7 linked regions of the Rattus norvegicus genome follow. The protein of the gene in region 4 purifies or fractionates together with the protein of the main gene of each other region. This does not show direct contact. Links are inferred from orthologs where the notes say so. Each region holds a gene or a part of one and is shown on either strand. Other genes may lie near its edges.

Region 1 (3,707 bases), on a different chromosome or scaffold from region 4:
TTTTTTTTTTTTGGTTCTTTTTTTTCGGAGCTGGGGACCGAACCCAGGGCCTTGCGCTTCCTAGGCAAGCGCTCTACCACTGAGCTAAATCCCCAACCCCAAGTATAAAGTTTTTTAACAAACTTGTTTGTTGGGCTGAAGAAATGGCTCTCCAGTTAGGAGCATTTGTGGCTCTTGTGGAGGATCTGGGTTGGATTCCCAGTGCTAAGTGATGAGTTTATAACCATCCTAAGTCCAGTTCCAGGGGATCTGTTGCTCTCTTCTGACTGCCTCAGGCATCAGACATGCACTTAGTGTGCACATACATATGTATGTACAGATAGACAGACAGACAAAACACCCAATGAATTGATCTGTTTGTGTGTGTGTGTGTGTGTGTGTGTGTGTGTGTGTGTGTGTGTGTGTGTGTGTGTGTACGTGTACTTATGCCACAGTCGGGCAGCATTTGGTTCTTTTGTAACATTGTGGGTTTCAAAAATTGAACTCAGATCATTAAGCTTTGTGCTTTTACCTACTGAGCCATCTTGTAGGCCCCAAAAGAGTATAAAGCTTTTTTTTTTTTTTTTTTTTTTTGGTTCTTTTTTTCGGAGCTGGGGACCGAACCCAGGGCCTTGCGCTTCCTAGGTAAGCGCTCTACCACTGAGCTAAATCCCCAGCCCCGAGTATAAAGCTTTAATTGAGGCTAATCACTATTAAACTCCAAAATAGCACTGAGTTCTGGTTTCTTTTCTTTCTTTTTAAATTTTATTTTTAATCTTCTAAGTTATGTATAAATTTGTGTTTGGGAAGGGTAGTGTTATATGCTCATGAGCACAGGTATGTAAGGACCCCAGAAGAGGGCTTTGGCTGCAGCTAGAGTTACAGGTGATTGTAAGCTGCTCCATGTGAGGTGCTGGGAACCAAACCTGGGTCTTCTGCATGAGTGGTAGTGTTCTGTCAGCTGAGCTCTCTTTCTAGCCCCTTCTCTTTCTTTTTAAGGATAGGGTCTCTTGTGCTCAGAATGACCTCCAGCTCACTGTGAGCCAGAGACGGCCTGAACTCCTGATTCCCTTCCCAACCCTGGCTCAAGTACATGTCCCCAAGCAGTACCATCATACCTGGTTTTATGTGGCGCTGGGATCACTCGGTTCATGATGCTAGACAAACTCTACCAACTTAACTCCGTCCCCAGCCTACTTACCACTCTCCTGACATACTGACTTACGTCTGTTCTATAGTGTGCATATGAAGATTGAAGAAAAGATCACACTGACCTGTGGGAGAGATGGAGGATTACAGAATATGGAGTTGCATGGCATGATCATGCTTAGGATCTCAGATGACAAGTTTGGCCGGATTCGTCTTCATGTAGAAAATGAAGATAAGAAAGGGGTGCAGCTGCAGGTATGTAGGGGCTTTTCATACTGAGTACCCGCATAGTCTCTGCTCTGGATTTCCTATTAGATTTTTGCAGTACTTCCAAATTTAATACAGGCTCTTGCTCCAGCTAGGCTCAACTATAGCCTTGGCCTTTTGTAAAGATGGTCTAAAATCTTGTCTTTATAGAAGGAAACTCTTCCCACAAATTTTTTTTAAAAATTATAATTTATTAGGAATCCTATTTATTCACCATTGTAAGCCCAGAAGGGTTTATTTCCTGTTATTCCTCCTTCTTTTTTCTTTTTTTCTTTCTTTTTGCATGTGCAGTCGTTGAGACAAGATCTCACATAGGTCAGGCTGGCCTCAGACTCACTATGGAACAGAGCATGACCTTGAACTTCTAACTGTCTGCTCCTCCTGCCCCCAACGTGAGAGTGCCAGGACTGTAAGCAGTTGAATCCAGAGCCCCATATATGCTAGGCACGTGCTTTGCCAACCAAGCTACATTTTCAGCTGCCTCTTTTTTTTTTTTTGGAGCTGGGGACCGAACCCAGGGCCTTGCGCTTCCTAGGCAAGTGCTCTACCACTGAGCTAAATCCCCAACCCTGCCTCTTTATTTTTATTTTTAGTATATTCACTCATTTATTCTGCATGTGTCTGTGTTGTGTGCTTATGTGTGTATGTGTGTATGTGTGTGTGTCCATGTGTGTGTGTCTGTGTGGGCATGCATGTGCCATGTCATATGAGTAGAAGACAGAGGATAACTTTCAAGTGTTGGTTCTCTTTTCCTCTTTGTGGGTCCCAGAGACTGAGCGCAGGTTATTGCTAGGAAGCAAGAGCCTTTCCCTATTGAGCCATCTTGCTGGCCCCTTCCTTCACTTGTCACTCTGAACTTCAGGCGTCCTTCTCTTCTCATTCCAGACCCATCCAAATGTGGATAAAAAACTTTTTACTGCAGAGTCTCTCATTGGCTTGAAAAACCCAGAGAAGTCATTTCCAGTCAACAGCGATGTAGGGGTGCTAAAGTGGAGACTACAAACAACAGAGGAATCTTTTATTCCTTTGACAAGTAGGTATCTGTGAGGGGTTTTCTCTTATCTTCATTGACATAGCAAGTTCTTTTTGGCAGTGTGGAACTGATGCTATATTTTGTATATTTGAATTAACCATTTAAATGTTTTAATAGATTTATGTGTATGTGTCTTTGAGTGAGTGTATGTTGCCTATGAATAAGTGTAAAGGCCAGAAGAAGTCATCGGATCCCCTGGAGCTGAAAGCACAGATGGCTTTGAGCCACCAGTGTATGGTGTATATAGGACGCTATAGATCTGCAGTGGTTGATCAGCTGTATTTGCCACTTTAACATTTTCTATTCTTCCATACTCTTGATCTTAGCCCAAGGCCAAGAAACAGTTCTACTCTTTTTCTAAAGCTGAGGTGTGATGGCCTTGTTTTTTTTTTCTCAGTTAATTGCTGGCCTTCTGAAAGTGGAAACGGCTGTGATGTCAACATAGAATATGAACTACAGGAAGATAATTTAGAGCTCAATGATGTGGTCATCACCATCCCACTCCCGTAAGTGAAGTTCTCTTAATCCTTATCCTTGTGTTGATTTGTAGAACTGATTCTGGGGTTTGGGGATGAATTTTGGTGGCAGTACCTCACTGAGTATCCATTCTGAAATGTTTGCTCATTTTCTTCCCCACTGTGGTTATACTGCTTAAATCTAGAGGCTTAAACACAGCAAGAGCTCTACCACTGAGCTATATTCCCAGTCCTCTTTTTATCGGTTTTGAGACAGAATTTCACAAAGTGGCCAAGAGTGTTCTTTCTTAATCTCAAGAGTAGCTGGGATTATAGGTCTGAAGCACTAGGCCTAACTGATTCTGCTTCTTCATAAATAACTAGTTGGGCATCACTTTGGAGGCAGAGGAGCTCTTGATTTCCAGGGCAACGTGGTCTACAGAACAAGCTCCAGGGCTATACAAACCCAGTTTCAAAAAACAAAAACAATTAGTTGATTAAAAATAAGTTAACGACCAGTTGTAAAGTCTGGTATGGTGGCACAGGCCTATGATCCTAGCCCTTGAAAGGTAGAGACAAGAGTGTCAGAGCTTTGATCTTGAGGTTTGTGTGACCCTGATTTGAGGGAGAAAGGAGGTAGGGTGGAGATCGTGACTACTGTAAAGGAAGGCAGACAAATAGGGCTTTCTAGAAAAGGGTAATTGCTTTTAACAGAAATCAAGAGGTAGAAAGTAAAGTACATATGGGAAAGGGGCCGGGTGGTGGAAGTGTCCTATGACTTGAATTGGTAGACCTCACAGACAGCGTGCATTTGTCAGAGTGCA
Region 2 (3,707 bases), on a different chromosome or scaffold from region 4:
TATTTCTAGTAGGCAGAATGACAATTTTCTTTTCATTTTGCCTAATTATGTGTCCTATAATTATTATATATTATTTTGGTAACAAGAAAAAAATTGTAAAAAACCTCAAGTTAAAAAACAGGGCCATGGGCTGGAGAGATGGCTCAGTGGTTAAGAGCACTGACTGCTCTTCCAGAGGTCCTGAGTTCAATTCCCAGCAACCACATGGTGGCTCACAACCATCTGTAAAGAGATCTGATGCCCTCTTCTGGTGTATCTGAAGACAGCTACAGTGTACTTATATATAATAAATAAATAAATCTTAAAAAAAAAAATGGGAGAGCTAATTCCACAGAGTTGTCCTCTGACCTCACCTCTATCTACATGTGCACCCCTCATGTGACAATAGTAATTAAAGGTGCTGGAGGAGATAAGGGAAAAGAAGAACCACTAAAATACTTTGTTTGAAAATGCCATATGATATCAAATAGCCTGTATGTTAATTTAAAATAAAGAAAGAAAATGAGACTCTAAACAAAGAATGACCACTAACAACTACAATAACAACAATAGAAAACTAGTAGGAATTAGAGCGGTGTCAGTGCACAGTGATGCCCATGCCCAGTACTACACACATATATACAAAATAAAACCCAATTATCAAACCGCTCATTAAACATAATAAGTAAACATCTAGTGCTGCATGTAATCAAGACTCAGATGCATTATCTAAAGGCAAGCACTGTGGCACACACCTTTTTTAATTCCAGCACTCAGGGGGCAGAGGTGGGCAGATGTTTTTATTTTTTTATTTTTTAGTTGAAGGCCAGCTTGATCAACATAGAGAAGTTCAAGCCAGACAGAGAAAAACAGTAAGACTGCATATCAAAAGGAAAAAACAAAAGCAGAATATGAAACAGAGTCCACTTACCAGCCATAAGCAAACAGATGATGCACATTGAAAAGGCAACAACCATGATGATAGGCAACTGAAATATAACCAAAAGATACAGCTGTTAGGAGTAATCCGTGGTTATAAAATCATCCATCTACTTTGCCTGGAAAGGTGCCAAACTTCTTCTGCAGGCTCAGACACACAATGTTTTGGTTTGGTTTGGTTTTTTTTTTTTTTGGGGGGGGGGTTCAGTTTTTAAACCAAACATCACTATTTATGGCTTCAATCACAGTAACAAAAGTCTTCATACTAATAAAGTATGAGATCTACAGAAGGATGCTTCTGCTCCAAACCTGGCCAAATACTGTAAGGACAACAGACTTCTCTTCCATCCAGGGCACTTTGTCATCTGGTAGAAGGCCCCAGAGAAGCTGCAAAGTCTTGTGAATACAGGAGAAAAGAAAAGCAAAGTATCCCAAACACACTTTACCTTTCTTTCTTTCTTTTTTTTTTCTTCAGTAAAACTACACACTGAATTTATCAAATAACACATTTTCCATTTTACAATGTATTTTCTGTCTTTCTAGATTTTGGATTGTAATTTTTTTTATTGGATATTTTAATTATTTACATTTCAAATGTTATTCCTTTTCCAGGTTTCCAGAAACCCCCTATTCCATTCCCTGACCCACTTCTTCTGTAAGGGTGTTCCCCCACCCATCCACCCACCCCTTCCCATCTCCCCACTCTGACATTCCCCTACACTGGGGCGGGGGGTGGGGGGATGGTGTCCCGCCTTGGCAGGACCAAGGGCTTCTCCTCTCATTGATGTCCAACAAGGGCATGCTCTGCTACATGTGCAGCTGGAACCATGTATACTCTTTGGATGGTGGTTTAGTTCCTGTGAGCTCTGATTGGTTGGTATTGTTATTCTCATGGGTTTGTAAACCCCCTCAGCTCCTTCAATCCTTTCTCTAACTACTCCAGATGGGGGTCCAGTTCTTGCCCTTCATTTACAAATTTATCTTTAGCAATTCCCTGATCAAAGAGAATTGAAGTTCTCCTGAAAAAAGAACTCCTGTGTCCATTCTAATATGGCAGTCATGAAAGAAAGTGTGTACACAGTTATTCTTTCTGTATTCGAGTCTTTTCTTCAGAAGAGAAAAATAAATATATATATTCCATTTATAACAGCATGCAATGTTTTCAACAGAGGTGTTTTCTATACCTTCAGACATATACTTCCAATCCTAGAAATCATAGAAAAGTTTCTTACCGCCAGGAATTTCCAGTCCCTTGGAACACTTAAAGGACTGTGAGAGTCTAATTCATCCACTGAGTAGTTTCCAAGAAATAAGTCTATAGAATCCTAGAAAATAAAGAACAAAATTGTGAACTTTCCAAACTTAATTTGACTACATTGAGCAATAGTGCAAAGAGATAACCATTCAGTGGCAAACAAACACCATCAAATACAGACTTACTTGTCTAAATCCATCAGAAAAGTTGTTTTTGTAGTACCGTAATAATGAGTTGAAGCCATCCATTACCAGTCCCAACTGAGTTCTTTTTCCAGTTCTGATTTAAAAAAAGATCCAGTTTTAAATTATATATATATATACATACTAAATTATCAGTTTTATGACCCATGAGAGTTATAGAAATACATGAACAGCAAAGATATCAAAAATTATCCCTAAAAACACAGACATTTTACAAGTCACTAGCAAGAAATCTATAGTTGTGTCTTTGTATCTATAAAGAACCCTACTAGACACTACTCTACAGATGTTCAAGTTCCTCATATAAAAAGGTGTAGTGTTTCCACACACCCTATTCACACCCTCTTATCATTTCTAAGTAACTATGGTGTCTAATATAATGCAAGCATGAAGCAAAGAGACACTATCCTGTATTATTGAGGAAATGATATAGAAAACATCTGCACATGCTCAGTACAGACACAGACACTTTTTCATGAGTGCTTTGGTTAGTGGTTGGTTGAATCCATACATACAACCCACGGAAAAGAAGAGCAATTGTGTTTGTTCTCTAAAACATTACCAAAGTAGACACAAGAAAGCGAAATAGCTTAACTACAAAACGAGAACTATGAGAAGAAATACAGCCTATGTCAGGAGATAGAAAACAGCACAGAACTAGGAACCACATTTGGTCCCAGGGAATCTCTACAGTGTTACAGAAAAGACCCAAAGGTACTGAGAACAACTGACAGGAGCAGGAGTATGGTTGGGAGCTTTGCAGAGGTGCAGCTCATAGGCTGTGTCCCAAACCTGTGGAATCAGACTAGTGACTGAGGTGCAAAGTGATGTCTCTATGCATGAGACTGCCCCAAGGAGGCTAAGAACCCACTAATGCCCAAGCCTTGTCTTCAGCAATCCTGACATGACAGCTCTAGTGAGGCACAGGTGCTTGGCTTATACAACTGTACCTGAAAGCTCACCACAGAACCACAGAATGCCAGAGAGCACTGGGACTACAAGCCACTGATGCAGACCACAAGTTAAAAGTGTGGCTTACCTTGTAAAGTCAGTCTTCAAGGCACCGGTTCCTGCATACTGTTTGGCACAAGCATTAGCATTATCGGCCCAGGCTTTGGGAAAACAAACAAACAAAAACAGCTGATAATCAATGATTAAGGTGTCAACTAAAGTTTTAGTGCAAAATATTAATTTCAAAATTTGAACTTTGCTCCTACTAAGAAATTACCTACCATTTTTGTAAATCTTCTCAAACTCATCTTGTTCTTCAAGCTTTTGTCCCACATGCAAAACTCCTAGTCTCTAGAAACAGAATCACACCCATATGTATG
Region 3 (3,707 bases), on a different chromosome or scaffold from region 4:
GAGTCTTATTCTGCTAGGATTAAAGCATCAGTCTGTGAAGTATTTCTAGTCAAACAAATGTAATGATAGCTCAACATTGGGGGAGGGGGGCAATCAACTTCTCTTCAGCAGATTTGAAAATCAGAAACTTTGAAGAGATGGTCAGAAGGCGGATGGCACTCCAGACCCTGTGTCCTGGTCTGCCCCTCCTTTCCAGCGTTGCCTTTCGCGCCTGTCTGGAAACCTACCCAGGAAACCATTTGCTCCCTTCTGGCACCACTGCCAAGCACTAGGCTAGACTCCATGCTCACTCTTCCCCACCACACTGTCCAAGCAGGACCATTGTACAGCCCACACCTACAACAGCTCGTGACTCAGCCGCTGTGCAGTTTACTCCACTCTCTGTTGAGAGAATTGTCTCTTAGCTTAGGTTCCTTTTTTAAAAAATTGAGCCCATAAACCAGGCATAGTGGCTGGCATGAGCCTTTAATCCCAGCACCTGAAGGCAGAGGCAGGTAGATCGCTGAGAGTTCAAGGCCAGCCTGCTCTACACAGTGAGCTTTATGATAGTTAGGGCTGTATAGCGAGACCTTGTTTCAGAGAAAAAAAATATTGAACCCATAGAAATGACTCAACAAGATGTTTTGGGTTTTTTTGGGTTGTTTTTTATTTTGTTTTGGTTTGTTTTTTCTTTGGTTTTTGTTGTTATTGTTATTGTTCTTTTTTGTTGTTGTTGTTGCTTTTACATCTTAGCAACACATTTCCAGAAAAAAATGCTGAGAGTTTGTGTTTAGTTGTTGTAATAATAAGCATAAAAACTACGAGGTTTAGATGTTTTTTGGGTGCTCAGAGTGAATCATCTACATGAATTAAAGGTGGGAATTCAAGAGACCTAGGAAAACCAGAGATGAGCAGATCTCTTTGTCTGTTCTTTAAAATTCTAAAAATTAAGCTTATCATTTTTTTTTGTTGTTGTTGTTCTTTTTTTCGGAGCTGGGGACCGAACCCAGGACCTTGCGCTTCCTAGGTAAGCGCTCTACCACTGAGCTAAACCCCCAGCCCCAAGCTTATCATTTTTAATGGAGTATCTCAGGAGCTCACCATAATCTTATTGGCTCACTGTTGCAACCATCTGGCTTCGCAGGCTAAGACAAAGCTGAGTGCCACACAGACACATAGCTGCTACTAGGGAATATGGCATGAACAGAGCAAGCTGAGCATGCAGTCTCTACAACAGCAGAAAAATGTCCAAATCTTCTGAGTCATCAACAAATCCAAGGATATGTGGAGCAGCAAGAGGCCAGCTACAGAACCTCCATGACTGAGTACCACATGAGGGGCATGGTTGGACAAAGAGCAAGAAAAGTCAACTTACACTTCAGGAGCTAAACGAAAGAGCAAAACGCTGCATCCCCAGACCACAGAAGTGGCTACATCTAAGTTAAGAAAGCAACAGCTAACACCAAGATGTGAGTGAGAAGCAACTGCCTAAGATTTTATTTCACATTCTTTCTTCATGCAAGGGTCACAACAGTTAGCATCCATTCAGAGGAATAAATCAAGGCTCAGTATGGTTAAGACTTGCCAGTAAATTAGCAGCAGGGGGATTTAAGTAATAAAACACTGCTGTTGTTTTAAGTCATCGACCTGCTACCTCAAGGAGAGTCCAATACTTCCTTATCTGAATGTAAGACCATCCGGATGGACCTCACCCTGCAGAGCAGCCCTGCGAGAGTGCTGTTCCACTCTCAATACACATGGATAGCAGCTGCCTCTTTGCCACTGGTGACAGAGGGAGAAAATAAGCAGAACAGAAGCTGGTGCTAACACTCCCTACATCGATGTTGCTCTATTTAAATATCACATACACTATGCCCAGAAGAACCTCTTCCACAGGCAACACCCACACGAACCTAGCTCCTGAAAATAACGCTCCATCCTACTTCGAGAAGCAGTGCACACGCGGCTTCTTGGACTCTGGTGGTTCTTTCATTATTAGTGCTGGTATTTTATAGCTTTTATTGCTAATGAAGTCCTTTCAAAAATCTTACCTGAGTTTCATGATTCCAAACACACACACTGCCATTGTAAAGACTAGCCAGCATCCATGGCTCAGTCGGATGCAAATCCACACTCTTAACCCGATCAGACCTAGCAGTTAGCTTTCTCTTGATGTCAAGTCGAAGAGGCTAAGGGGAAAAGACAATTGTTGAATAAAATTAAATTCTTAAGCCAAATAAAATATGCTTGAAACAGTGTATAAGAGGCTTACAAAAAAAATTCTGTTTTAACTTTGCTAAATTGTGAATAGTTTCTAGTCTAAAGCATGGGGTATTTTTAGATTTCAGAGGTGGTTTTCCAATTTATCCTGACTTTATAGCCTTAAAGTTTATAGGGGCTTCAAGTGATGGTTTTTTTTGTTTGTTTGTTTTGTTTTTTTTTAATTTGGAGCTGGGAACCGAACCCAGGGCCTTGCGCTTGCTAGGCAAGCATTCTACCACTGGGCCAAATCCTCAACCCTGATGTTTTATATTTATGTAAAGACTCTCAATTTGATTTTTTTAGAAGACTGTTATATCTGGCTTTGTTTCCAGATATACCATTTTGGTTGACATGTAACAAAACAACCACCATCTGGCCTCAAACACATAAAGCTAGGACGCAGAATATATCAGCCATTTTGGAGAATGGGATGTTCTGCTTTGATGCTGTCTGAGAAGTGGGGGTTCCTTAAAGAACACGTGTGGGATCTGAAGCCTAAGGAGTAACTGTTTACACTCGGCTAAATTAAAATCCACTAGTCTATCCTACACTTTGCAGATTTTTAACTCCTGCCTGTTTTTTGTAACAGAATACATTGGTCATTTGGGAAATGATAGTTCATTGAGTTATACAGATCCACATATACGACAAACTTCATTACCCTTAATCAAAAGCCACATTTATTAGTATTTAATACTAATAGATTAGTATTAATACTAATCACTAATTAGTATTAATACTAACCATTTCCTACTTTAACTGACATATCTTTGAATATCAGAAATACATGACGTTCACTCTTTAAAATTCAAACTTTCATTTGAAAACTAGAATTCTATCATCAGTAACAAACATGGTCAGGGACCAGCCAGCTTCTTCCAGTTATCAGGCTGTCTACTAAATATATCTGGATAAGCAGTTAGTTTCTCGGCCATCATTTCAAGTAAAGCTTGCAACCTGAACCTTTATCTGTACTAAAGTGCGTGTTCCAACAGACACATCTTACTTTACCCATCCTCCTTTCATAACACTAATACAGAAGCTTCAGAAGATGTCTCCTGAGGTGTTGAGACTGACAGCATTAATGACATTTTACTATTTCATTCATGGCAATCTCACTTAAAACCTGGCTCCTTACAAACAAGTGTCTGACAACCAGAACACTATCAGGTTGGACGTGGTGGTGTACTCATGCAATTTCAGCACTCTGGGAAACAGAACTGTGAGTTCAAGGTCAGCCTGAGCTATAAGACAAAACTGTCTCAAAAAGAATGTATCACTAGCACATTCTTGAATCACTGTACCAGCACGGTTACCTTTCATCAGTGCAGATACAAACCTAGCAGAAAGGCCAGCAGCATCTCACTAAAATTTCTGATCTGTGACGTCTTGATAACAGGAAGAGACTTCTAAGGAACTACAAAACATACTTCTAGAACACCCAGTTTATAGATAGGTAAATAAAT
Region 4 (4,458 bases):
ATCCCCACAAGTTGTCCTCAGACCACACATACCCAACCCTCCCCATGATGAAGCATGGTGACCCAGGCCCCTGGGTTGACTGTCCACAGCTTTCCTGCAGAGTACCTGTGCCCTTCCCAGGCGGCCCACACTCACCTGTGCGAGGTATGCTCTATACAGGAAGACATCCCTCTCGACTTCTCTCTCAGGACTGGACAGCTGTGAGGAGATTTGTTGAGTGAGGCTGAGGAGCCTGCTGGGAGCTTCCCTGGTGCACTCAGGCTAATAGCTCAGGGCCTTAGCTGGAATCCAGGAGGCCCAGAAGCCCCAAAGGAGCCTCCACAGAGGGCACAGTGTAAAAAGCCTGATCTTATCTCAATGAGGCTGTCATCACCCCAGGTATCAGGGCACAGTGCCATATGGCTGCAGCAGCAGCAGGGCTGCATGCCCCAGCCCAGAAAAGTCCTACTGAGTTTAGAGTCCAGGCTGATCATGAACTACCTGAAATCTTCCAGCCTCGGCCTCCTGGGTGTGATACCTGGGGTGAGGACAGGGTGATGATATACTGTGTTTTGGGCACACAGGCTAGGCCATTCTGTGGTCGGTGGATACACACATTTATTTTAGTTAGCACCCAGGACAGAGTCTAATGATCCTCCTGCCTCAGCCTTTGGAGGAGCTTGGACCACACACCGAGGGGCCCCTGATCACTGCAGTCTAGCAACCAGCAGCTCTCATGTGGCCAGAAATTGCAGCAGGGAGAGGCCCTGCCTCAAGCCACCTACAGTTCTAGAGCTCTCCCTGCCTGGAAGAACAGATGGTGACCAGGCCACCTGCATGCTATCTGAAGAGATCCTGGGAACTCAGCAGAAGGACCAGCCTGGACTATGAGACATGCTGAGGGCCCCAGGGAGACTGGGCTGGCTGATGTCGGAGGTGGGGCTGCTGTGTACTTGTGGTAGGTACTAAAAGGGAAGATGAGAGAGAGGGAGCACAAGCTTCAACCAACACTGGGCGAGGACATAGGGTGGGGCATCTGACCAGTACACAAGAGTCTTGATGTCTCCCTAAACCTGAAAGGCATAAGGAGAGGAAGGAAAGATGCCGGTATCACAGAGAGTCACTGAAGTAGCTTGCTGGGTCAATGACTGGTGACTAAACATTTATTGTCCCGCATCCCTAAAGTTCAGAGTCCAGAATCAGGAACTTACACCTAACCACATAAGTCCTTAAAAGCAGAGACATAGAGGAAAGGGACCTATGGGAAGGGAGATAGAAGAGGTCCTAAGGATGACAGGACGCCACATCTGGCTGTTCTGAGATGGGAGAAGAGCCTGGGACTAGAGAGAACCTTCTAGGAGCTAGATGTCTTCAGTGAATACAGAGCCGCTGGGAAAGCTAGGAAGTGCTGCTTGTCCAGAACCTTAAGAAAAGAGAGCTTTGAGACCAGTAAGAACAAACCTCCACACACTACTCTACACACTTTACCCTAGCCACACTCCAGCCCATCATGCCCTGACCCTGGAATGCTACGCTGTTTTCACAGTCAAAATAGCCAGGCCTGAGACTACCACTTTCCTGGTTGCCTGCCTGGCCTCTGTTGCCGAGGCTACTGCACCTAGAAAGCCTGGAGTTCCATCAACTCTGTCTCTCACTGAGCCCAGCAGGAATGCTGTTTTCCACACACATGCAGAGAGGGATCAGTGATAGGTGATCCTGTCAACAACACAGGCTGTTGCAGACAATTCCCATTTTTAATGAACTAAAGACAAGCACAGGCTTGTCATCCTGCATCTGGGAGGGCTGAGGCAAGACTGCTGAATCTAGGGACAGCCTGGGCTACGTGCGACTGTTTAAAACATAAAACAAAGCCAGGGCTGGGATTTAGTCCGTAGAACACTTGCATCAACGCTGTGCTTCCCACCTCCAGTACTGCATAAACTGGGGCTGGCAGTGCACACTGCAATCCCAGTACTCAAGAGTGGAAGCACAAAAATCAAGAATTCAGTGTTCTTCAGCAAGATGAGGAATTCGAGGCCAGCCTGGGCTAAAGGAGACTGTCTTCATTTATAATCGGACTTCTCTTTTTTTGGGGGGGTGGGGTGGGAGGGCGAGGAGGGTACAGTCCAAGCCAGGATTTTTCTGTGGCACCCTGGCTGCCCTGGAAGTCGCTATGTAGGTCAGGCTGGCCTAAAACGCAGAGAACTGACTGCCTCTGCCTCTGGGTGCTGGGATTTAAGAGACGCGACACTACCTCTGGCTTGAGACTGTTATTAAGACAGATTACAGTATTATCCGACTGACCTAGAACCCCTCATGAAGATCAGGCTGACTCTGAACTAAGAGATCAGCCCGCCTCTGCCTCCCAAGTGCTGGGATAGAAGGCGTGCACCACGATGCCTGCCTAAACACTTAATGAAAGGGGAGTGAGGAGAAACGAAATAGTAAGAGGTTACAAGATAGAGCCAGTGGCGCACACCTGTCACCTCATCATTACCCTGACTTCAAGTCAGCCTGGGCTACGAATTGAGCTATCAATCAACTAATAAAATTTTGGAAGCTGGGCACAGGGGTGCACGCCTGTCAGCCTAGCACTCAAGGGGTGGAGACTGAAGGCGTAGGACTTCAGGTCAGCCTCGGTTACACAGTAAGTTCAAAACTATCCTTGACTATAAGAAAAACCGAGTCCGCCGACCAAAACCTCAGAACTGCTCCGCACGCTGCCTACCTTCACGCGCTGCGCCTCGTTAATGCACTGCTGGTAGCTGCCGATGTAGAAAGCGTTCTTCACGTCGAACAGCTCGTCTACCTCTCCAGAGCTGCCAGAGACCGCGCCGGGAGCCGGAGGAGCCATGTCACCACCCCTCTAACCGGTCTTCTTCCTGGGAGACACGTAGGCCGGAAGCAGGGACCTGCCGCCGGGAACTATGGGAAACGTAGTTCTATGGGACCAATAGGAGGCGTTGAAACAGAAACCATGCAAAGCCTCCCGAGAACTATAGATCGGATTCGATGAACAAACACAAGGTTTTCAGGACCAAAACACTGAAAAGCGGTCGAAGCTGGGATTGGTTGAGGGATCTGGAGCGGGTGGCTGCGCAGTGGCTCTCCGTGACGTCACATTCATCTGCCAGGGTTCGTTCACAACTTTCCCAGGCGGGACTGCTCCGGGTGGACGTGATGTACCATTCACGCGCCGGAAGTGCTCACCACTAGGTTCTCTACACTAGTCTGAAGCATGGCGGGGTTCGCTGAGCTCCGGCTATCGTCGTGGCTGGTGGAACAGTGTCGACAGCTGGGGTTGAAGCAGCCCACGCCGGTGCAGCTCGGGTGCATCCCGGCCATCCTGGAAGGTGAGTCCTTGACTCTCTTTTAATGCCTTTCTTTGTCCCCTCTTCCTTACCCCGGGTCCCACGAATCAGGACAGCATTGGGTGTTTCAGAGATCCTGACCCGCAGCATTGGCATTTAGGCTTCGACTGACTCGTGTGCATTGTCATACAGGTGATGGATGGAACCTCTGAAATTTTCGTAGAACCCGAGCATTAGGGAGAGTTCGGTGAATGACTAAAACGTGGCACTGGGGCAAAAAAAAGGGGGTGGGGAGTAGAACTGGCCTTGACGTAGCAAACAGAAACAGAGGCTGTCAAACTCCAGGCTCCGTGTTTGTGTCAGTGCTCTTCAGTTCAGCTCACTTTTGCCATTAAAGAGGCATCCTTGGAGCCGAACGTGGTCATCTCTCATCTCAGTCATCTCAATACCGAGCAGGAGGATCAGGAGTTCAAGATAATCCTCAGCTGTGTAGCAAGTTGCAAACCAGCCTGGGATACTTGAAAAATTGTTTCAAACAAGCAGTCATAATAACTGTTGGAAATTAGATGATGTTCAAGGGATTAGTGAACATAAAACAGCTTTTAATATTCTATTCTGCAGAAAAGGGTGCTGGCATTGAAAAAAGGATAAAGTAACTGGTATACTGATTTCAAGCAAGTTTTCGAAGCTTTCCCCCCAATCCTGCAGGGCTTGCCCCCTTCCCAAATTCCCCACCCCATTGGTCCATTGGGGCCCCAACTCTTATCTAATGAATAATTTGGGGCTTGAAACTGCCCCCCTTTTATAATCATAGGCTCAGTCACATAGCAGACCACCTGTAAGTCTCCAAGTCTTAGAATTGTAAGACATGCGGGTGCCAGCCACCAACTAAGGGAGAGAAGGGCCCAGCACCTCCTACTCACCTGTAACTCTAATAAACTGTAAGCAGACCATACCCATCTATTTCTTACAATAATGAGTGAATGCTCACAGGACCAATCATGGCCTTTCTTCATGTTAATACTGCTTTGCCGTCTGCCCAGGTCGGGACTGCTTGGGTTGTGCAAAAACAGGAAGTGGCAAGACAGCAGCCTTTGTACTTCCCATCCTGCAGAAGCTGTCTGAGGACCCTTATGGCATCTTCTGCCTGGTTTTGACACCCACTAGG
Region 5 (3,707 bases), on a different chromosome or scaffold from region 4:
TGCTTTTTGAGGTAATCTGTCACATAGCCCCAGTCGGTCTTGAACCACCTATATAACTGAGGTTAAGCCTAAATTCCTGATTTTCCTGCCTTGTACTTCCCAAGTACTGGATAATAGGTGTGTGTGCACTGCCGTGCCTCTCTACCTCAGTGTCTTTTTAATAATTATTTTAATGTATACACTATCTGTCTAAAACTATGTCTGTATACCACATATGAGTAGTACCCAAAGATGACAGAAGAAGGCACTAGATTCCCTGAGATTGAGTGATGGTTGTGAGCTCCTATGTGGGTGCTGGGAATCAAACCCAGGTCCTCTGAAAGAGCAGTCGGTGCTCTTAAAAAAAAAAAAAAAAAAAAGATTTATTTTTATTTTATCTATATCCACACCAGAAGAGCAGAAGAGGCATCAAATCCCATTACAGATGGTTGTAAGCCACCATGTGGTTGCTGGGAATTGAACTCAGGACCTCTGGAAGAGCAGTCAGTGCTCTTAACTGCTAAGCCATCTCTCCAGCAGCCAGCACTCTTAATAGCTGAACTATCTCTCCAGTCCCTGCCCCTATGCCTTTACCAAGCTACCTGATGGATCAGTAAAGAGAGAAATTATTAAGAGCTGAGATCAGAGGAAGGTGGTGGAAAGAAAAAAAAAAACTGTACTCAAGAGTAAGGTGTGGTCATGCATGCTTTTTCTTTTTTTTTTTTGTTTTGTTTTTAAGCCAAATTTGAATCAAGCTTTATCAAATCCTGGCCACACTGATGGACACTGGCCAGGTCTGTATCCTGGATTCCCAGAGATTGGCCTCATCATGCATGCTTTTTATCTCCGAATTCGGAAAGCAGAGGCAGTGGATCTCTTTGAGTTCAAGGCCAGCCTGGTCTACAAAGCAAGTTTCTTGACAGCCAAGGCTACACAGAGAAACCCTGTCTAGAAGAAAACAAACAAACAAACAAACAAAACAAGGAAACAGTACCAAGGATCAAATCTGAGACTTGAAATTTGCGATGGGCACACTTCACTACTGAACTACACGTCCAGCCCCAGCTTGGGCTCTCAAGTCAGAACTCGGTCTGAACCTCAGCTTGTTCTACATAGGTAACCTCCAGGGAATTAGTGAGCTGAGTCACACATACAGCTGCTTTTATAGTTTGACAAAAGCCAAATAAAAGTAATTTTATATGGTTCTTTGTGGTTTGGTTTCCTCGTTGGCAAAACAAAGACAGTAATGCTTCCCACCCACAGAAATGCTGCCAAGCTTAAACAATACACTTCACAGAGCACACACATAGCAGTAAGGGCTCAGCAGGACCTGGTCTCTCAAAAGTCTTAGCTGTGATGGGAAATTATCTGGTGGCTTACGTGCCTTCTACTCTCCCAGAAGTTGTTTCCTACATACAAGAAGGTTAGGGATACACTCACAGACCCACTTATACCGTGAGAGCTCATCAAGTGACCCTTTCCTACTGTATGGTTCATGAAATTCACACTTACACACGCACACCCTTGATTACACCTCAGAAATCTACCTTTAAAAAACACTGTGACTGTGGGTAGAGGGCTAGAGAAGTGGTTTGGAGGTTAAGAGCATTGGCTGCTCTTCCAGGGGACCTGGGTTCAATTCCCAGCACCCACATGGTAGTTGATAACTGTCTACTACTACTACTGACCCCCTGTTCCTGGGGACCCAATACCTTCACACAAAAACACCAATGCACATAAAATAAAATTTAAAAAGTTAAAAAACAAACAAACAAACAAACAAACAAAGCACCATGGGTTAGCAAGGTAGTGGTGGCACACACCTTTGACCCAGTATCCAGGAGGCAGAGGCAGGTAGATCCCTGAGACGTTCAAGGCCAGCCTGGTCTACAGAGTGAGTTCCAGGACAGCCGGGGCTACACATAGACTCCCTGTCTCAAACTCCCTCCTCGCGCACACACACACACAAACAAAAAAATGCCATGGGAACTTGGCACAGTGGCTCACACCTACAATCTCAGCACTGAAGAGGCTAAGACTGGAGGATTGCATTGAGTTTGAGACCAGTCTGGGCTACAGTGTAACACTGTCTCAAAAATAAAACAGAAACAAAGAAGCAAACAAAACCTAAAATGCCACTGTGTAGGAAAGAACATTAATACTGTATAGATGTATATTCTAATTGGAGATGGTGGTTCCTGTCTGTAATTCTAGCACCTGGGAAAGAGATGTGATTTGAAAACAGCCTGTGTTATACAGTAAGATACTGCCCCTTACTAAAAAAAGAAAAAAAAAAAAAAAAAAAAAAAAAGACCCAGGAAACTTCCTTTCTGGACTGATTCTTTGGCTGGGCCATTTCTTCTGTAAGGCTGACAGGGATTTCTGACAGACCTCTTTATGACCTTGCCAGAGAGCAGAGGAATGTAGCTCTGCAAGCCCCAAGCCAGTGGCTGTGTCCCACTGGAGTGGCGTCAGAGGTAGCACACGCACAGTGAGTCTCACCTCGTTTTCATAGGAGCTGCCGATCACATAGAAATAGAGATCAATGCTGCTTTTATAGACCACTGTCAGCCCTTCCAACAGGGCGATTTCACCTGGGGGAAGAAAGCAGAAACTGAATGGTGGGAGAAGAGGTGGCAGAACAGGAGTTCCCATGAAATCCCGGGGCCAGCTGCCTGGGCCAAGGAAAGGCCAACTGTAATGACCTCCAAGCACTGAAGCTATTTATTGTTTCGAGGGGTAGGCAGAAGGGACTCAGAAACTCAGGGGAGTCTCTGTTCTCTGGTTCTCCCTCCCCCACTGCACCTACTTCCCTCCCTGCGTATGAGGCAGGGTAGCAGCCGATCCTTCGGAGGTAAAAACGCAGAGCGGTCACCTTTACAGGCTTCCATTTACCTGCCCTAATGGATGCGGTACAATAAGCAGAGCTGCAGTTAAATTTGTCAAGTGAGGCTCATAAATCCAGGGACTAGACAGGTAGCTAACAGCCAAGCTTCTACCATGGTATTCCCGTGTGAGGTACACTCACCTCCCCATTACATTTCTGAAGAGTTTATTATATGAGGGGAGGAGGAAAAAAAAAGAGGAGGCCGAGTCATTTTATCTTTTTTTCTAGTCCTGCTGACACCCCCTTCCTGTGGTTCCCCGAAACACAGAGAATGGTGCAGAATGACCTACTATCCGTCCGATGGGTCTTGTTGAAAATGTTCTTCTCAAAGGCTTTTTGCTCCTTGACACTGGGGTAGGTGTCGTCATAGTACTAGTGGGAGGGAAGGAGACATGGTTGGGTCACCATAGCTGTGAGCCCACAATGATTAGTGAGTGTTCTACTCTGGGATCTTGTATGACCCCTTCAAGGCATGAGGTAACAGGGGAATACTGAGACAGAGAAGCATGGACTACAGAGGCAGGGAATGGGAAGGGGGCGGGAGAGAGGGGGGAGACAGAGAGAGACAGAAAGAGACAGAGAGATAGATTGCTGCCAAGCCTCAGAGCCAGAACCCACATGGCAGAGAGAGAGAGAGAGAGAGAGAGAGAGAGAGAGAGAGAGAGAGAGAGCTCCTGCTAGTTATTCTCTGGCCTCTCTAACAAGTTCACACATATACACCCAGAAAAGAAATAAATTAAAAAACAAAACAAACAAACAAACAAACAAAAAAGAACCAGGAAAGGACTGTGCTTAATCAATCCTACAATTCTATGAGCTGTTTTTAAAACTCTGAGGGCAC
Region 6 (4,464 bases), on a different chromosome or scaffold from region 4:
GAACACAGAATTTTAAAAAAACTTTCTTTTGGTTTTGTAACTCCAGTGCCTACTAAGACACAGCAGGTATACAATAAAACTTCCTGAGCTATAAATTGAAAATATCTCTGAATACAAACTATGTGCCTAGCACTATTATAACTGTTTATATCTACTATTTTATACAACTGTAAGGCTTAAAAAATTAGTATTATAAAACTAATTTACATTATGAGGCATATAATGGTTAAATTACTTGTCCAGAATCATACTGACAGTATTAGTGTAATGATGATACTAATATAAAACCTGAACATTAAGATAAAAATTTCAACATTTCATTATTATGCCAAATAAGTCAGCAAACAAAATACTTGAAATCTGACTGACTTTACATTGTATTTTCAAAGGCTCTCAAAATACATGTAACATGCTGTTGGCACAGCAGTTAAGATCACTTGTTAATCTACAGAGGATCCAGGTGTGATTCCCAGAACCCATATGGTGGCTCCAACCTCTGTAACTCTAGTCTCAGGGGACCTCCTGATGCCCTCTTCCGACCTCTGTGAACACCAAGCACACACATGATGCACATACATACATGCATATAAAAGCCATACACATAAAATAAATAAATCTTTAAAAACTAAAAATCAATATGTGTGACAAGTATGTTCTAAGTAGAATTTGTTGAATTGAAATCAACATATTTATTGAAATGTACATGTTTAGCTAGTCTAATACCTCATGAATTTAGAGAGAAATATAAGTTCAGTCCTTGTATTAAAGAACTTTCACACATTATTGTTCTAACCAAACACTGTGGATTTTCAAATTACATGGCTTTCTTTTTAAACAAGTCTACTTTTCAATAAGTACTTCACTATAGGTTACATATTTCCATTCTAATACACAAATCTAAGGAAATCAGAAGAGTTTACCTGGTTGAGTAAGTAAAGAATCTTTGTCAAGATATGCAAGCATCTTCTTGGATTGATGGGCGTTTCGTTAAATATGCGTGCCTACAGAAATATGCAAAATAGTATGCTATAAATGGTGTATTTTCTATCTCAAATCATCTTTAGTAACATTAACAATATGTTGGCACGCTATCGAAGTAATGTCAGTTGTCTAAGCTCTCAAGTTGGTATGGTGTACAATAATTACCAGATATGGCCTGCTTTCCTGGCTATACTTTATTCCCTTAGGTTGACAACTTCAACTTTAAAGACTTTACCAGAGTATCTGTCTACACATGAATACCACGAGCTTACTCTCTGGAAGTTCTTCCAGTAACCCTGCACTTACCACACGGCAGAGTCTGCATGTCTATACACTTCTAGAGTTCCAGACTCTCCCATTTCCTCTACTGGACACCCTCTGCACTGTGCTACACTCCTCTGCTACCTTTAATATATAAGTAAACGAATTTCTAGTTTTGATCAAATGTGGGGGAAGTCTGATTTTCAGACAGTCGGGTGGGTCCATTGTCCCTCATTGTTATTTTGGCTATCCTGACTTTAGTAGGATACTACTAGGTTCTTTGCCTGTCATTCTTCTTTTTTTATTTTTTTTTTTTATTTTTTTTTAAATTTTTTTTTTCTGAGCTGGGGACCAAACCCAGGGCCTTGTGCTTGGTAGGCAAGCGCTCTACTACTGAGCTAAATCCCCAACCCTTTGCCTGTCATTCTTAAACAGACTCTATAAGGCACTGTACACATCCAAGCCATACCTCCTGCAAGACAGCACTCTTCTCCAAATGCTGGAAAGGATTGGAACCACTACCTACAGTGTAAGAGAAAGAGAAGGTCTTCAGTAGCTGGACTGCACAGACTTTTCTAAAGGAGGATAGTACATGCTTGGGAGATCTCACCTAAACAGAATGATCCCTTGGAAGTCACAAGGACGACCATTACTAATATGCAAGTAAGTTGGATGAAGTAATTTTGATTCTGGTACAAATTCTGTCATTGCCATATTGAGAGATCTTGGATTTCTCCTGATAGAGGAACCCTGTCCAAAATGAGTGCCTTCATTCCCTGCTTCCCCCTCTCCCACCCCATGGATGTTAACAAATGTGTCGGTTCCACCACCACCAAGAGTAATGAGATGACAGGACACTATGGATTCCCCTAAAAGCAAACCCTATTTTATGTGTTTCACACATTTACTGAAGCAGAAAGGAACAGTTTCGCAGAGAATCACAAATGTAAAGAGGCCATGCAGGATGAGGCCATGAAGGTCCACTAACCCAACCTTCCACCACACTTGTGGGAGCAGCTACCACTGAAGAGCTGAAGATTTTTTTTTTTTTTTTTGAAGAGGCTTGGCATCTTCCCCACTTGCACTGCACCACAGACAGGTATCAACACGCAAGTCACTTCTGGATGCCTGCGTATTCAATGAGCTGTGTCCCACCGGGCAGTCTTAACCCCTGGGAACAGGAGAATCAAGGCCCTTCAGAGTCCATAAACACGCAACCCTGGCCCGGTCGACCCAAGCCCCCAAAACAGGGGGTGCTCGCCCTGGGGCCTAACCCCACCAGCAACCCCAGACTACCAAGACATGCGCGCGCACCTCCTCGCCCCCCGACAGGGCCCCACGGAGGGCCGGCTCTGAGGGGCTCCGTCGGGGGCGGGAGCGGGGGGCGGGGACGCGCCGGGGCGGAGCCGCGGAGAATTCAAGGCGACTCCCGGCCCGGAGCGCGCGGCCCGAGGGGAGGCCCCGGCGCCGGGGGAGGGGCTTCAGGCAGACCCCGCCGCTGCGGCCGCCCCCAGAGCAGGTGGATACGGGCGAGGGAAAGGGGAACCCTTGCGCCTGAGGGTGGGCGTCCGGAGCGCCGCGCGTACCAGACTCCTCGTCCTTCTTGTCGAATTTTTTAATCATCTTGGACGGCTTCCCAGCGCCCAGACCCACCGCAACCGTCCCAGGCGCCGCAGCCGGCGAGCGGAAGACGCTGCAGGAAGGCAGGCCCTGTGTTCTCACACCGGTTGGGCCAGCGGGCCGTCACTCGGGGCCAAGGCCCGCCCCCCTCGGGCCTCCGCGGCCGCCCTTGCCCCCTAGGGACGCAGGCACGCCCTCTGCTCCGCCTACTGCCGCACGGGGGCGGAGCCGGGCTCTGCCCCTAGGCTCGCCACGCCCCGCTCCACAACCTCTACAACTCAGGTCTGAGGCTACAAACATGGAACTTTATTTGGTTGGTGACTTCTCCAGGTCCCCTCAGTTCTTGGAGAGCGCAGAGAGGGGCTTAAAGGATTTGTCTTCACTTAATGACAGCCGCATTTTTGACCACCCACTGCTGGGCCCTTCCATAGCGAAAGCAGCTCTCCCCTGGCACACTTCTTGTAGGCTTCTCTTCTAGGAGCTTTGAAAATGTCAATGGTTCCCAAAGCACTTGCGAAGTTGGTGTTTCATCCGCCGACTTCATGGAAACTATGACAAAGCACAGGACACAGAATGTTCGACTCTGAGAGCACTAAACGGGTACTAAAAGGAAGACATGATGTGATCCTTTTGGAGAGACCGGAAAGCTGGTCTTAACTCTTACCAAGAGGTTGGATTTTGGGACTGCCATTCCCAGCCTCTTATGATTCCTTCTTCACTCAAGCCAGTGTAGTCTACGTAGCTTTCACCCTTTTCAAGTGATTCAATCTGTGACCATACTGACTAACACTCAAGCAATTTAAGGGACAATCACGTGCCTCAGTGCCTTTCCAAATGTTTTTTCCTTTTTTTTTTTTTTTTTTTTGGTTTGTTTTATTTGGTTTGGTTTGGTGTTTTATTTTTTTTTGGTTTTTTGGGGTTTTTTGTTTGTTTGTTTGTTTGTTTTTTGTTTTTGTTTTGTCCTCGTCTCAGAGTATGAAAAACACACTTTTTAATACCTTGGGCATCGGAGGCATCACATTCCTAGTTGGTCTTTCCAGCTTCACCTGTTCTTAGGGAGTTGTCTAAGATCTTAACTACAGTCCTCCATGGAGGGTGTGGTTTACTTCTTGGGCAACCTTCTAACCAAACTTCACTTCTCAGATCTCTCTCTCTCTCTCTCTCTCTCTCTCTCTCTCTCTCTCACACACACACACACACACACACACACACACACACACACACACACACACACAAACAATGATGGGGGACAGAGAAGATATTAGCTTGAAATGGCACCACTAGTAAAACGCCCTGGCAGATTTGTTATTGTTGAGGAAATGTACCATAACTGTCTGTCCGTTTTAGGTACAAGAGTAAAGCACTCACACTTGGAGAGGGTATATGTAGTCACCATAAATGACACTAGAGCCGAAGGCTGACACACTACTTTATACATGGATATCTAACTCATCCTGCCAGGGACAGGGCTCTTGAAAAATTAGAAAAGGTCTTACCTAGCTTAGATTACATATCCTTAAGAAAAATTCCAAGCTGGAAAGGGTAGCACACACCTTTAATCTCAGCAGATCAGATCTTTGAGTTCAAGGACAGCCTGGTCTA
Region 7 (4,507 bases), on a different chromosome or scaffold from region 4:
ACATTGTAGCTGTCTTCAGACACACCAGAAGAGGGCATCAGATCCCATTATAGATGGTTGTGAGCCTGGGAATTGAACTCAGGACCTCTGGAAGAGCAGTCAGTGCTCTTAACCACTGAGCCATCTCTCCAGCCCCTAATCCTAGCTTCTTAAACTGTGAGTCACAACTCAATCTGGGGTAGCACAACTGAACGTAGAATTTGCCATCAGTGAGGTTTCTAAACAAACACACACACACACACACACACACACACACACACACACACACACACCCCACACAATTCAAAATCATTTATTGAATCCAGCATTTCTGGTAGCATTTGCCTGTGATGCACTGTATGAGCGTGCTCTTCAATGTGGCCTTAGTTTGGAGCACATGACATGTTTACATTACACTCCACACGCCCTTCTAAGACATAACACCCAATAGTGTTGTTTTCAGCTCAGATTCCAAAGTACTGTATGTTATGAGCTGCAATGCTTTTACTATATTCACAAGATTTTTTGGTTTAATTAAGTGAAGTAGAGTTTTAATGTTTTCCTATGGTCATTTCTAAGTTTAAGTATCAAATTTTAGTCTGTGATTGAATTGTACTACCATAATGTATGATTTAAAAAGTGTTCTTTCCATGGGGCATACTGGAAATCTTTAATTCCAGCACTTAGGAGGCTGCTGGATCTCTGAGTTTAAGGCTAGCCTGGTCTACAAGGTGAGTTCCAGAAGAGACAGGGCTGTTACACAGAGAAACCCTGACTCAAAAAAAAAAAATTGTTGTCTGGAAGGGCTGGAGAGATGGTTCAGTAAGTAAAGTGCTGGCCACATAAGCAATGAGGATCTGAGTTCAATCTCTAGCACCCATGTAAAAGTCACACGCAGCACATGCCTAGACCCTTAGCACCGGGGAGGTGGAAACATGAGGATCACTAGGACTTGCTGGCCAGCCAGCCTAGCTAAATTAGCAAGCTTCAGGGTCAGTGAGAGATCCTGTGTCTAATAATGGGAAGGGAACCTCTGAGAATGCTCAGCAGGTAAAAGGCACTTAGTTCAATGCCTAAAACCCACCTGGGGGAGAGGGCTGGCACCTAAGTCCTCTGATTGCTACACTAGTGCTCTGCGTATTTGTCTCCCCACTTCCACTATATAAACAGTGAAGAATAAGCCTGGGAACTGGAAACAGCTTAGTGGCTAACAGCACATAATGCTCTTGCAGAGAACCCACATCAGGTGGCTCACAATTGCCTGTAACTCCAGGTCCAGGAGGAATCTACTACACCTCTGGCCTTTCCGGGCATTCACATACACAAGCACCTCCCCATATATATAAAAATAAATCTTATAAAAAAATCAAAAGTCTAAAAAAACAAGGTGGAATGTGACTGAGGAATGTACCTAAGGTTTACCTCTGGCCTTCACATGCAAGTACACGCAATATGCATATATGACTAGCACATTTTGGTACACACACACACACAATTATTAAGAAGCATCCTCAGGTGAAAAGGGGTTAGGGTAGAAAAAATTTAAGAAGTATTAACTTACATCATCATAGAAGTTGAAAGTAAAAGGTGATTAGTGACCTGTACCTGTAATCTCGGCCTTTGGGAGGCTGAGTTAAGAGAACTGATAGAAGTTTGAGGCTGCCCTGGCCTGTTAGTGAGTTCCAGGCCAGCCTGGGGAAAGAGTAAGGCCTTATTCAGGAAGGAAAAAGAAAACAGAAAAGAAAAAAAGAATTGTGCTTCTCAGAGCTGGGGGAGAGAGCAAGAAAGGAAGGAAGGAAGGAAGGAAGGAAGGAAGGAAGGAAGGAAGGAAGGAAGGCAGGCAGGCAGGCAGGCAGGCTGATCAATGGCTACCGAGTATAAGATAAAAAGTTGTGGTCTGATATTGTGGACTACAGTGAACAACTGTATCCTACACATTTAAAAAAATCTCGACAAAAAGACGTGAAATGTTTTCACTATGAAGAAAAGATTTGAGATAATTATATTCGACAGGATTTACATATTACACAATATAGACATGAATTTAAAACATCACATTAATTTTTATATTTTATAATTTTATGTCCAATTTTTATATTTTTAACCTATCAATTAAAACAATTCCTATCTGAGTTAAGAAACTATTTACCCAGGTCATTTTTTAAGCTGATTTCAGAAGGGGGTTCTGAGTCCATTGGCACGTTAATTAACGTATAGCACACGTTCTCAGCTGCGGTCATGGTTCCTGTTTATAACCAACTCAAAACAAGATGAAAAGGACGAAAGGTGCCAGGTAAATCTACAAAAAGGAATACAAGTATCATTAGAAAAAAAGAGACAAATTGGGCAAATCAGTTCTGATCTTTATACTGCCTGAAGTTCTTTCCCTGTGGTTCTGAGGATGTCGATCTATAGAGCTCTCCCAATCTCCTCCCTCCATGAACTCTAGTGACAATCACTCAGTCCCCGTACCCGTCCACTCCCCGACCCAGGGTGTGGAAAGCTGTGGAGTCGAGGTCCACACCACAGTGACAACTCGGAGCACCACGTCACGGGGCCGCGATTGCCAACATAACACAGTCGTATCTGTTCGAGGAGGGCGGCCAGCAAGCGAAGACGCTGCAGAATCTTGGGACTCCTCCGCCGTGGCGGGTTCCCCGTGGGTGCGCCCCGGCCGCCCCTCCTTGGCCTCCGTCCACGCAGGGCCAGGCCTTAGGCGGCGCAGACCCGGGTCCCACGGCCCCCGGGGCCGCGGCCCAGCTCCCCGCCCCCACTGCCCGTCGCCGCGGCCTAGTCAAGCGCCCGGCATCTCCCCATTCGGCGGCTCACCGACCCCGCGAGACCGCCACAACCCCGTGGGCTCGGGGCCCAGGCTGCTACCTGGCTCCGTGGGGGTGGGGGTCGGGAAGGAACCGTAGGACCGTCGACTACCGGTCCAGACAGCCGCTGCCGCGACGGCTCCACTGAGTCCTTGGCTGACGTGGAAGGAGGCGGGGAGGAACTAGGATGCAGCTACAGAGTCTGTACGGAGACCCAGAGAGGACAAGCCTCTTCCGTCCTGCATTGAGCCCTGAAAGTCTGTGCTATCTTCTTCCTCTCTCTGGGTTGGTTTCTGCTGCAGTGTGAGCAAGTAGTTTAGTTTTCCCTGTGAGTGAGGAGCTGACTTAAGCGCTGTGTTCAGTTAGCAGTTCTCCCCAGGAGCTAAAACTTGTACAAAAAATACAGAGGAGTTCAGCAGTCCTTCTTCCTCTCATTTACAAATTGGAAAATTAACCGACTCTTCGGCAGATGATTTCAAATATTTCAATAAGACAACTAGGTTATACGGAAATATACTTGAGCGCTTAACACCCCTGGTGATCCGAATCTGACTTTATTTAGTTGACCTGGAGTTAATGGAGTATCAGAAGTTGTCTGACAACTGTTTCTTTATTCAAAATGGCCTTTTGCTGTCCTTTCAAGAGCGTCCAATATGTTAAAAAAATTATGCGTAAAGGGAGAGAGTCAGCATCAAAGAATTTTTCTTGTCTTCATAGACCTACTAGTTACAGCTATACTTGGACATAGTACATTAGATTTTATTCATTTGTAGTTCCATATCTTATCCCAATGTCGTAGTCAATTATTAATAACAAAATATTTGAAAGCATCAACAGTGTTTTCTCAAGTTGCCTGACTGGTCTTGGAAGGTGGTCTTCGGTTTCTGAGAAGTTGGAATTACAGGTGTGTACCACCTGGATACATACTGTGTATACAAAACCAGCTAACCTCACTTCCGGGACACAGAATACAAATTGTCTTCTCATCTACCTGGAACGCAGCTATTCTGACAATTCCCTTTTCTGGAAACATTGAGTTTAAAGAACAAATCCCCCAGCACTCAAAATACACCAAAGAGGCTACATATTTATTGTACTTAAAAGAGCCACCTCTCTGAATTTTTGATTTTTGATAGTTTCACTGTCCAGGCTGGCCTTCCAACTCTCAATCTACTTCTCTCTTGCCTTAGCCTCCCAAGTGCTGGGATTACAAGCAAGTGCTATTACATCTAGCTTGTGCATTTTAAAAGATGCTTTGAATCTAGGGAATTGTAAGACATGATACTGACAAGCCCTCTAAGAGGTCTTTGCCCAGTTCCTTTGCCTTATGAAGTCTTGCAGGAACTGACATGTCTCCTTATTGAGATTTCACCAGTTTATAGAATCTCATTTATGTACTTGTTTCTAAACAACACATTCAGTTTCGTATGAGGACCAACAGTCGAGACAGTGAACAGTTCCACCACAGAGATCCCTCCTGAGTCCACCAACTGTCACAGCCAGGGGCCCACTTTAACCCCTGCAACTGTCTATCCATTCTAACATATAAATGGAATCATACAATGGAATCGTTGAGATTAGCTTTCTTTATTCAGTACAATTCTCTGAGAATGAGATGCATTCTAGAATGTTCCTTTCTGAACTCAGTTTTTTCTTCACATGGAATCGTTACAAATGCAGTTATTAGTTCTCCAAACTCACTTGACTCA

What was found.
Region 1: the proteins of Cope (region 4) and Arcn1 purify together in Homo sapiens (affinity purification with mass spectrometry; 4 studies listed by BioGRID and IntAct, with this or other methods). This does not show direct contact. The link is inferred for Rattus norvegicus from reciprocal best matches to the Homo sapiens genes COPE and ARCN1.
Region 2: the proteins of Cope (region 4) and Sacm1l purify together in Homo sapiens (affinity purification with mass spectrometry; 4 studies listed by BioGRID and IntAct, with this or other methods). This does not show direct contact. The link is inferred for Rattus norvegicus from reciprocal best matches to the Homo sapiens genes COPE and SACM1L.
Region 3: the proteins of Cope (region 4) and Copb2 purify together in Homo sapiens (affinity purification with mass spectrometry; 4 studies listed by BioGRID and IntAct, with this or other methods). This does not show direct contact. The link is inferred for Rattus norvegicus from reciprocal best matches to the Homo sapiens genes COPE and COPB2.
Region 5: the proteins of Cope (region 4) and Copz1 purify together in Homo sapiens (affinity purification with mass spectrometry; 3 studies listed by BioGRID and IntAct, with this or other methods). This does not show direct contact. The link is inferred for Rattus norvegicus from reciprocal best matches to the Homo sapiens genes COPE and COPZ1.
Region 6: the proteins of Cope (region 4) and Copg2 purify together in Homo sapiens (affinity purification with mass spectrometry; 5 studies listed by BioGRID and IntAct, with this or other methods). This does not show direct contact. The link is inferred for Rattus norvegicus from reciprocal best matches to the Homo sapiens genes COPE and COPG2.
Region 7: the proteins of Cope (region 4) and Copb1 purify together in Homo sapiens (affinity purification with mass spectrometry; 6 studies listed by BioGRID and IntAct, with this or other methods). This does not show direct contact. The link is inferred for Rattus norvegicus from reciprocal best matches to the Homo sapiens genes COPE and COPB1.

The regions. Positions count from the first base shown.
Region 1 is NC_086026.1:53,961,808-53,965,514, reverse strand, and holds part of Arcn1 (coatomer subunit delta), read left to right. Parts: intron 1-1,217; coding exon 1,218-1,383; intron 1,384-2,280; coding exon 2,281-2,428; intron 2,429-2,825; coding exon 2,826-2,934; intron 2,935-3,707. UniProt on the Homo sapiens protein: Component of the coatomer, a cytosolic protein complex that binds to dilysine motifs and reversibly associates with Golgi non-clathrin-coated vesicles, which further mediate biosynthetic protein transport from the ER, via the Golgi up to the trans Golgi network.
Region 2 is NC_086026.1:132,101,945-132,105,651, reverse strand, and holds part of Sacm1l (phosphatidylinositol-3-phosphatase SAC1), read right to left. Parts: intron 3,679-3,707; coding exon 3,609-3,678; intron 3,489-3,608; coding exon 3,416-3,488; intron 2,453-3,415; coding exon 2,359-2,452; intron 2,244-2,358; coding exon 2,151-2,243; intron 969-2,150; coding exon 911-968; intron 1-910.
Region 3 is NC_086026.1:108,043,483-108,047,189, reverse strand, and holds part of Copb2 (coatomer subunit beta'), read right to left. Parts: intron 2,169-3,707; coding exon 2,031-2,168; intron 1-2,030. UniProt on the Homo sapiens protein: The coatomer is a cytosolic protein complex that binds to dilysine motifs and reversibly associates with Golgi non-clathrin-coated vesicles, which further mediate biosynthetic protein transport from the ER, via the Golgi up to the trans Golgi network.
Region 4 is NC_086034.1:19,156,162-19,160,619, forward strand, and holds the start of Cope (coatomer subunit epsilon), read right to left. Parts: upstream 2,877-4,458; 5' UTR 2,834-2,876; coding exon 2,708-2,833; intron 199-2,707; coding exon 136-198; intron 1-135. Other genes in the region: probable ATP-dependent RNA helicase DDX49, read left to right, coding at 3,218-3,332, 4,334-4,457. UniProt on the Homo sapiens protein: The coatomer is a cytosolic protein complex that binds to dilysine motifs and reversibly associates with Golgi non-clathrin-coated vesicles, which further mediate biosynthetic protein transport from the ER, via the Golgi up to the trans Golgi network.
Region 5 is NC_086025.1:136,305,095-136,308,801, reverse strand, and holds part of Copz1 (coatomer subunit zeta-1), read right to left. Parts: intron 3,239-3,707; coding exon 3,157-3,238; intron 2,574-3,156; coding exon 2,482-2,573; intron 1-2,481. UniProt on the Homo sapiens protein: The coatomer is a cytosolic protein complex that binds to dilysine motifs and reversibly associates with Golgi non-clathrin-coated vesicles, which further mediate biosynthetic protein transport from the ER, via the Golgi up to the trans Golgi network.
Region 6 is NC_086022.1:60,465,990-60,470,453, forward strand, and holds the start of Copg2 (coatomer subunit gamma-2), read right to left. Parts: upstream 2,965-4,464; 5' UTR 2,866-2,964; coding exon 2,829-2,865; intron 1,765-2,828; coding exon 1,712-1,764; intron 1,002-1,711; coding exon 921-1,001; intron 1-920. Other genes in the region: Tsga13 (testis-specific gene 13 protein), read right to left, coding at 3,242-3,411. UniProt on the Homo sapiens protein: The coatomer is a cytosolic protein complex that binds to dilysine motifs and reversibly associates with Golgi non-clathrin-coated vesicles, which further mediate biosynthetic protein transport from the ER, via the Golgi up to the trans Golgi network.
Region 7 is NC_086019.1:177,869,884-177,874,390, forward strand, and holds the start of Copb1 (coatomer subunit beta), read right to left. Parts: upstream 2,958-4,507; 5' UTR 2,860-2,957; exon of another isoform or gene 2,857-2,859; intron 2,794-2,856; exon of another isoform or gene 2,452-2,793; intron 2,279-2,451; 5' UTR 2,220-2,278; coding exon 2,129-2,219; intron 1-2,128. UniProt on the Homo sapiens protein: The coatomer is a cytosolic protein complex that binds to dilysine motifs and reversibly associates with Golgi non-clathrin-coated vesicles, which further mediate biosynthetic protein transport from the ER, via the Golgi up to the trans Golgi network.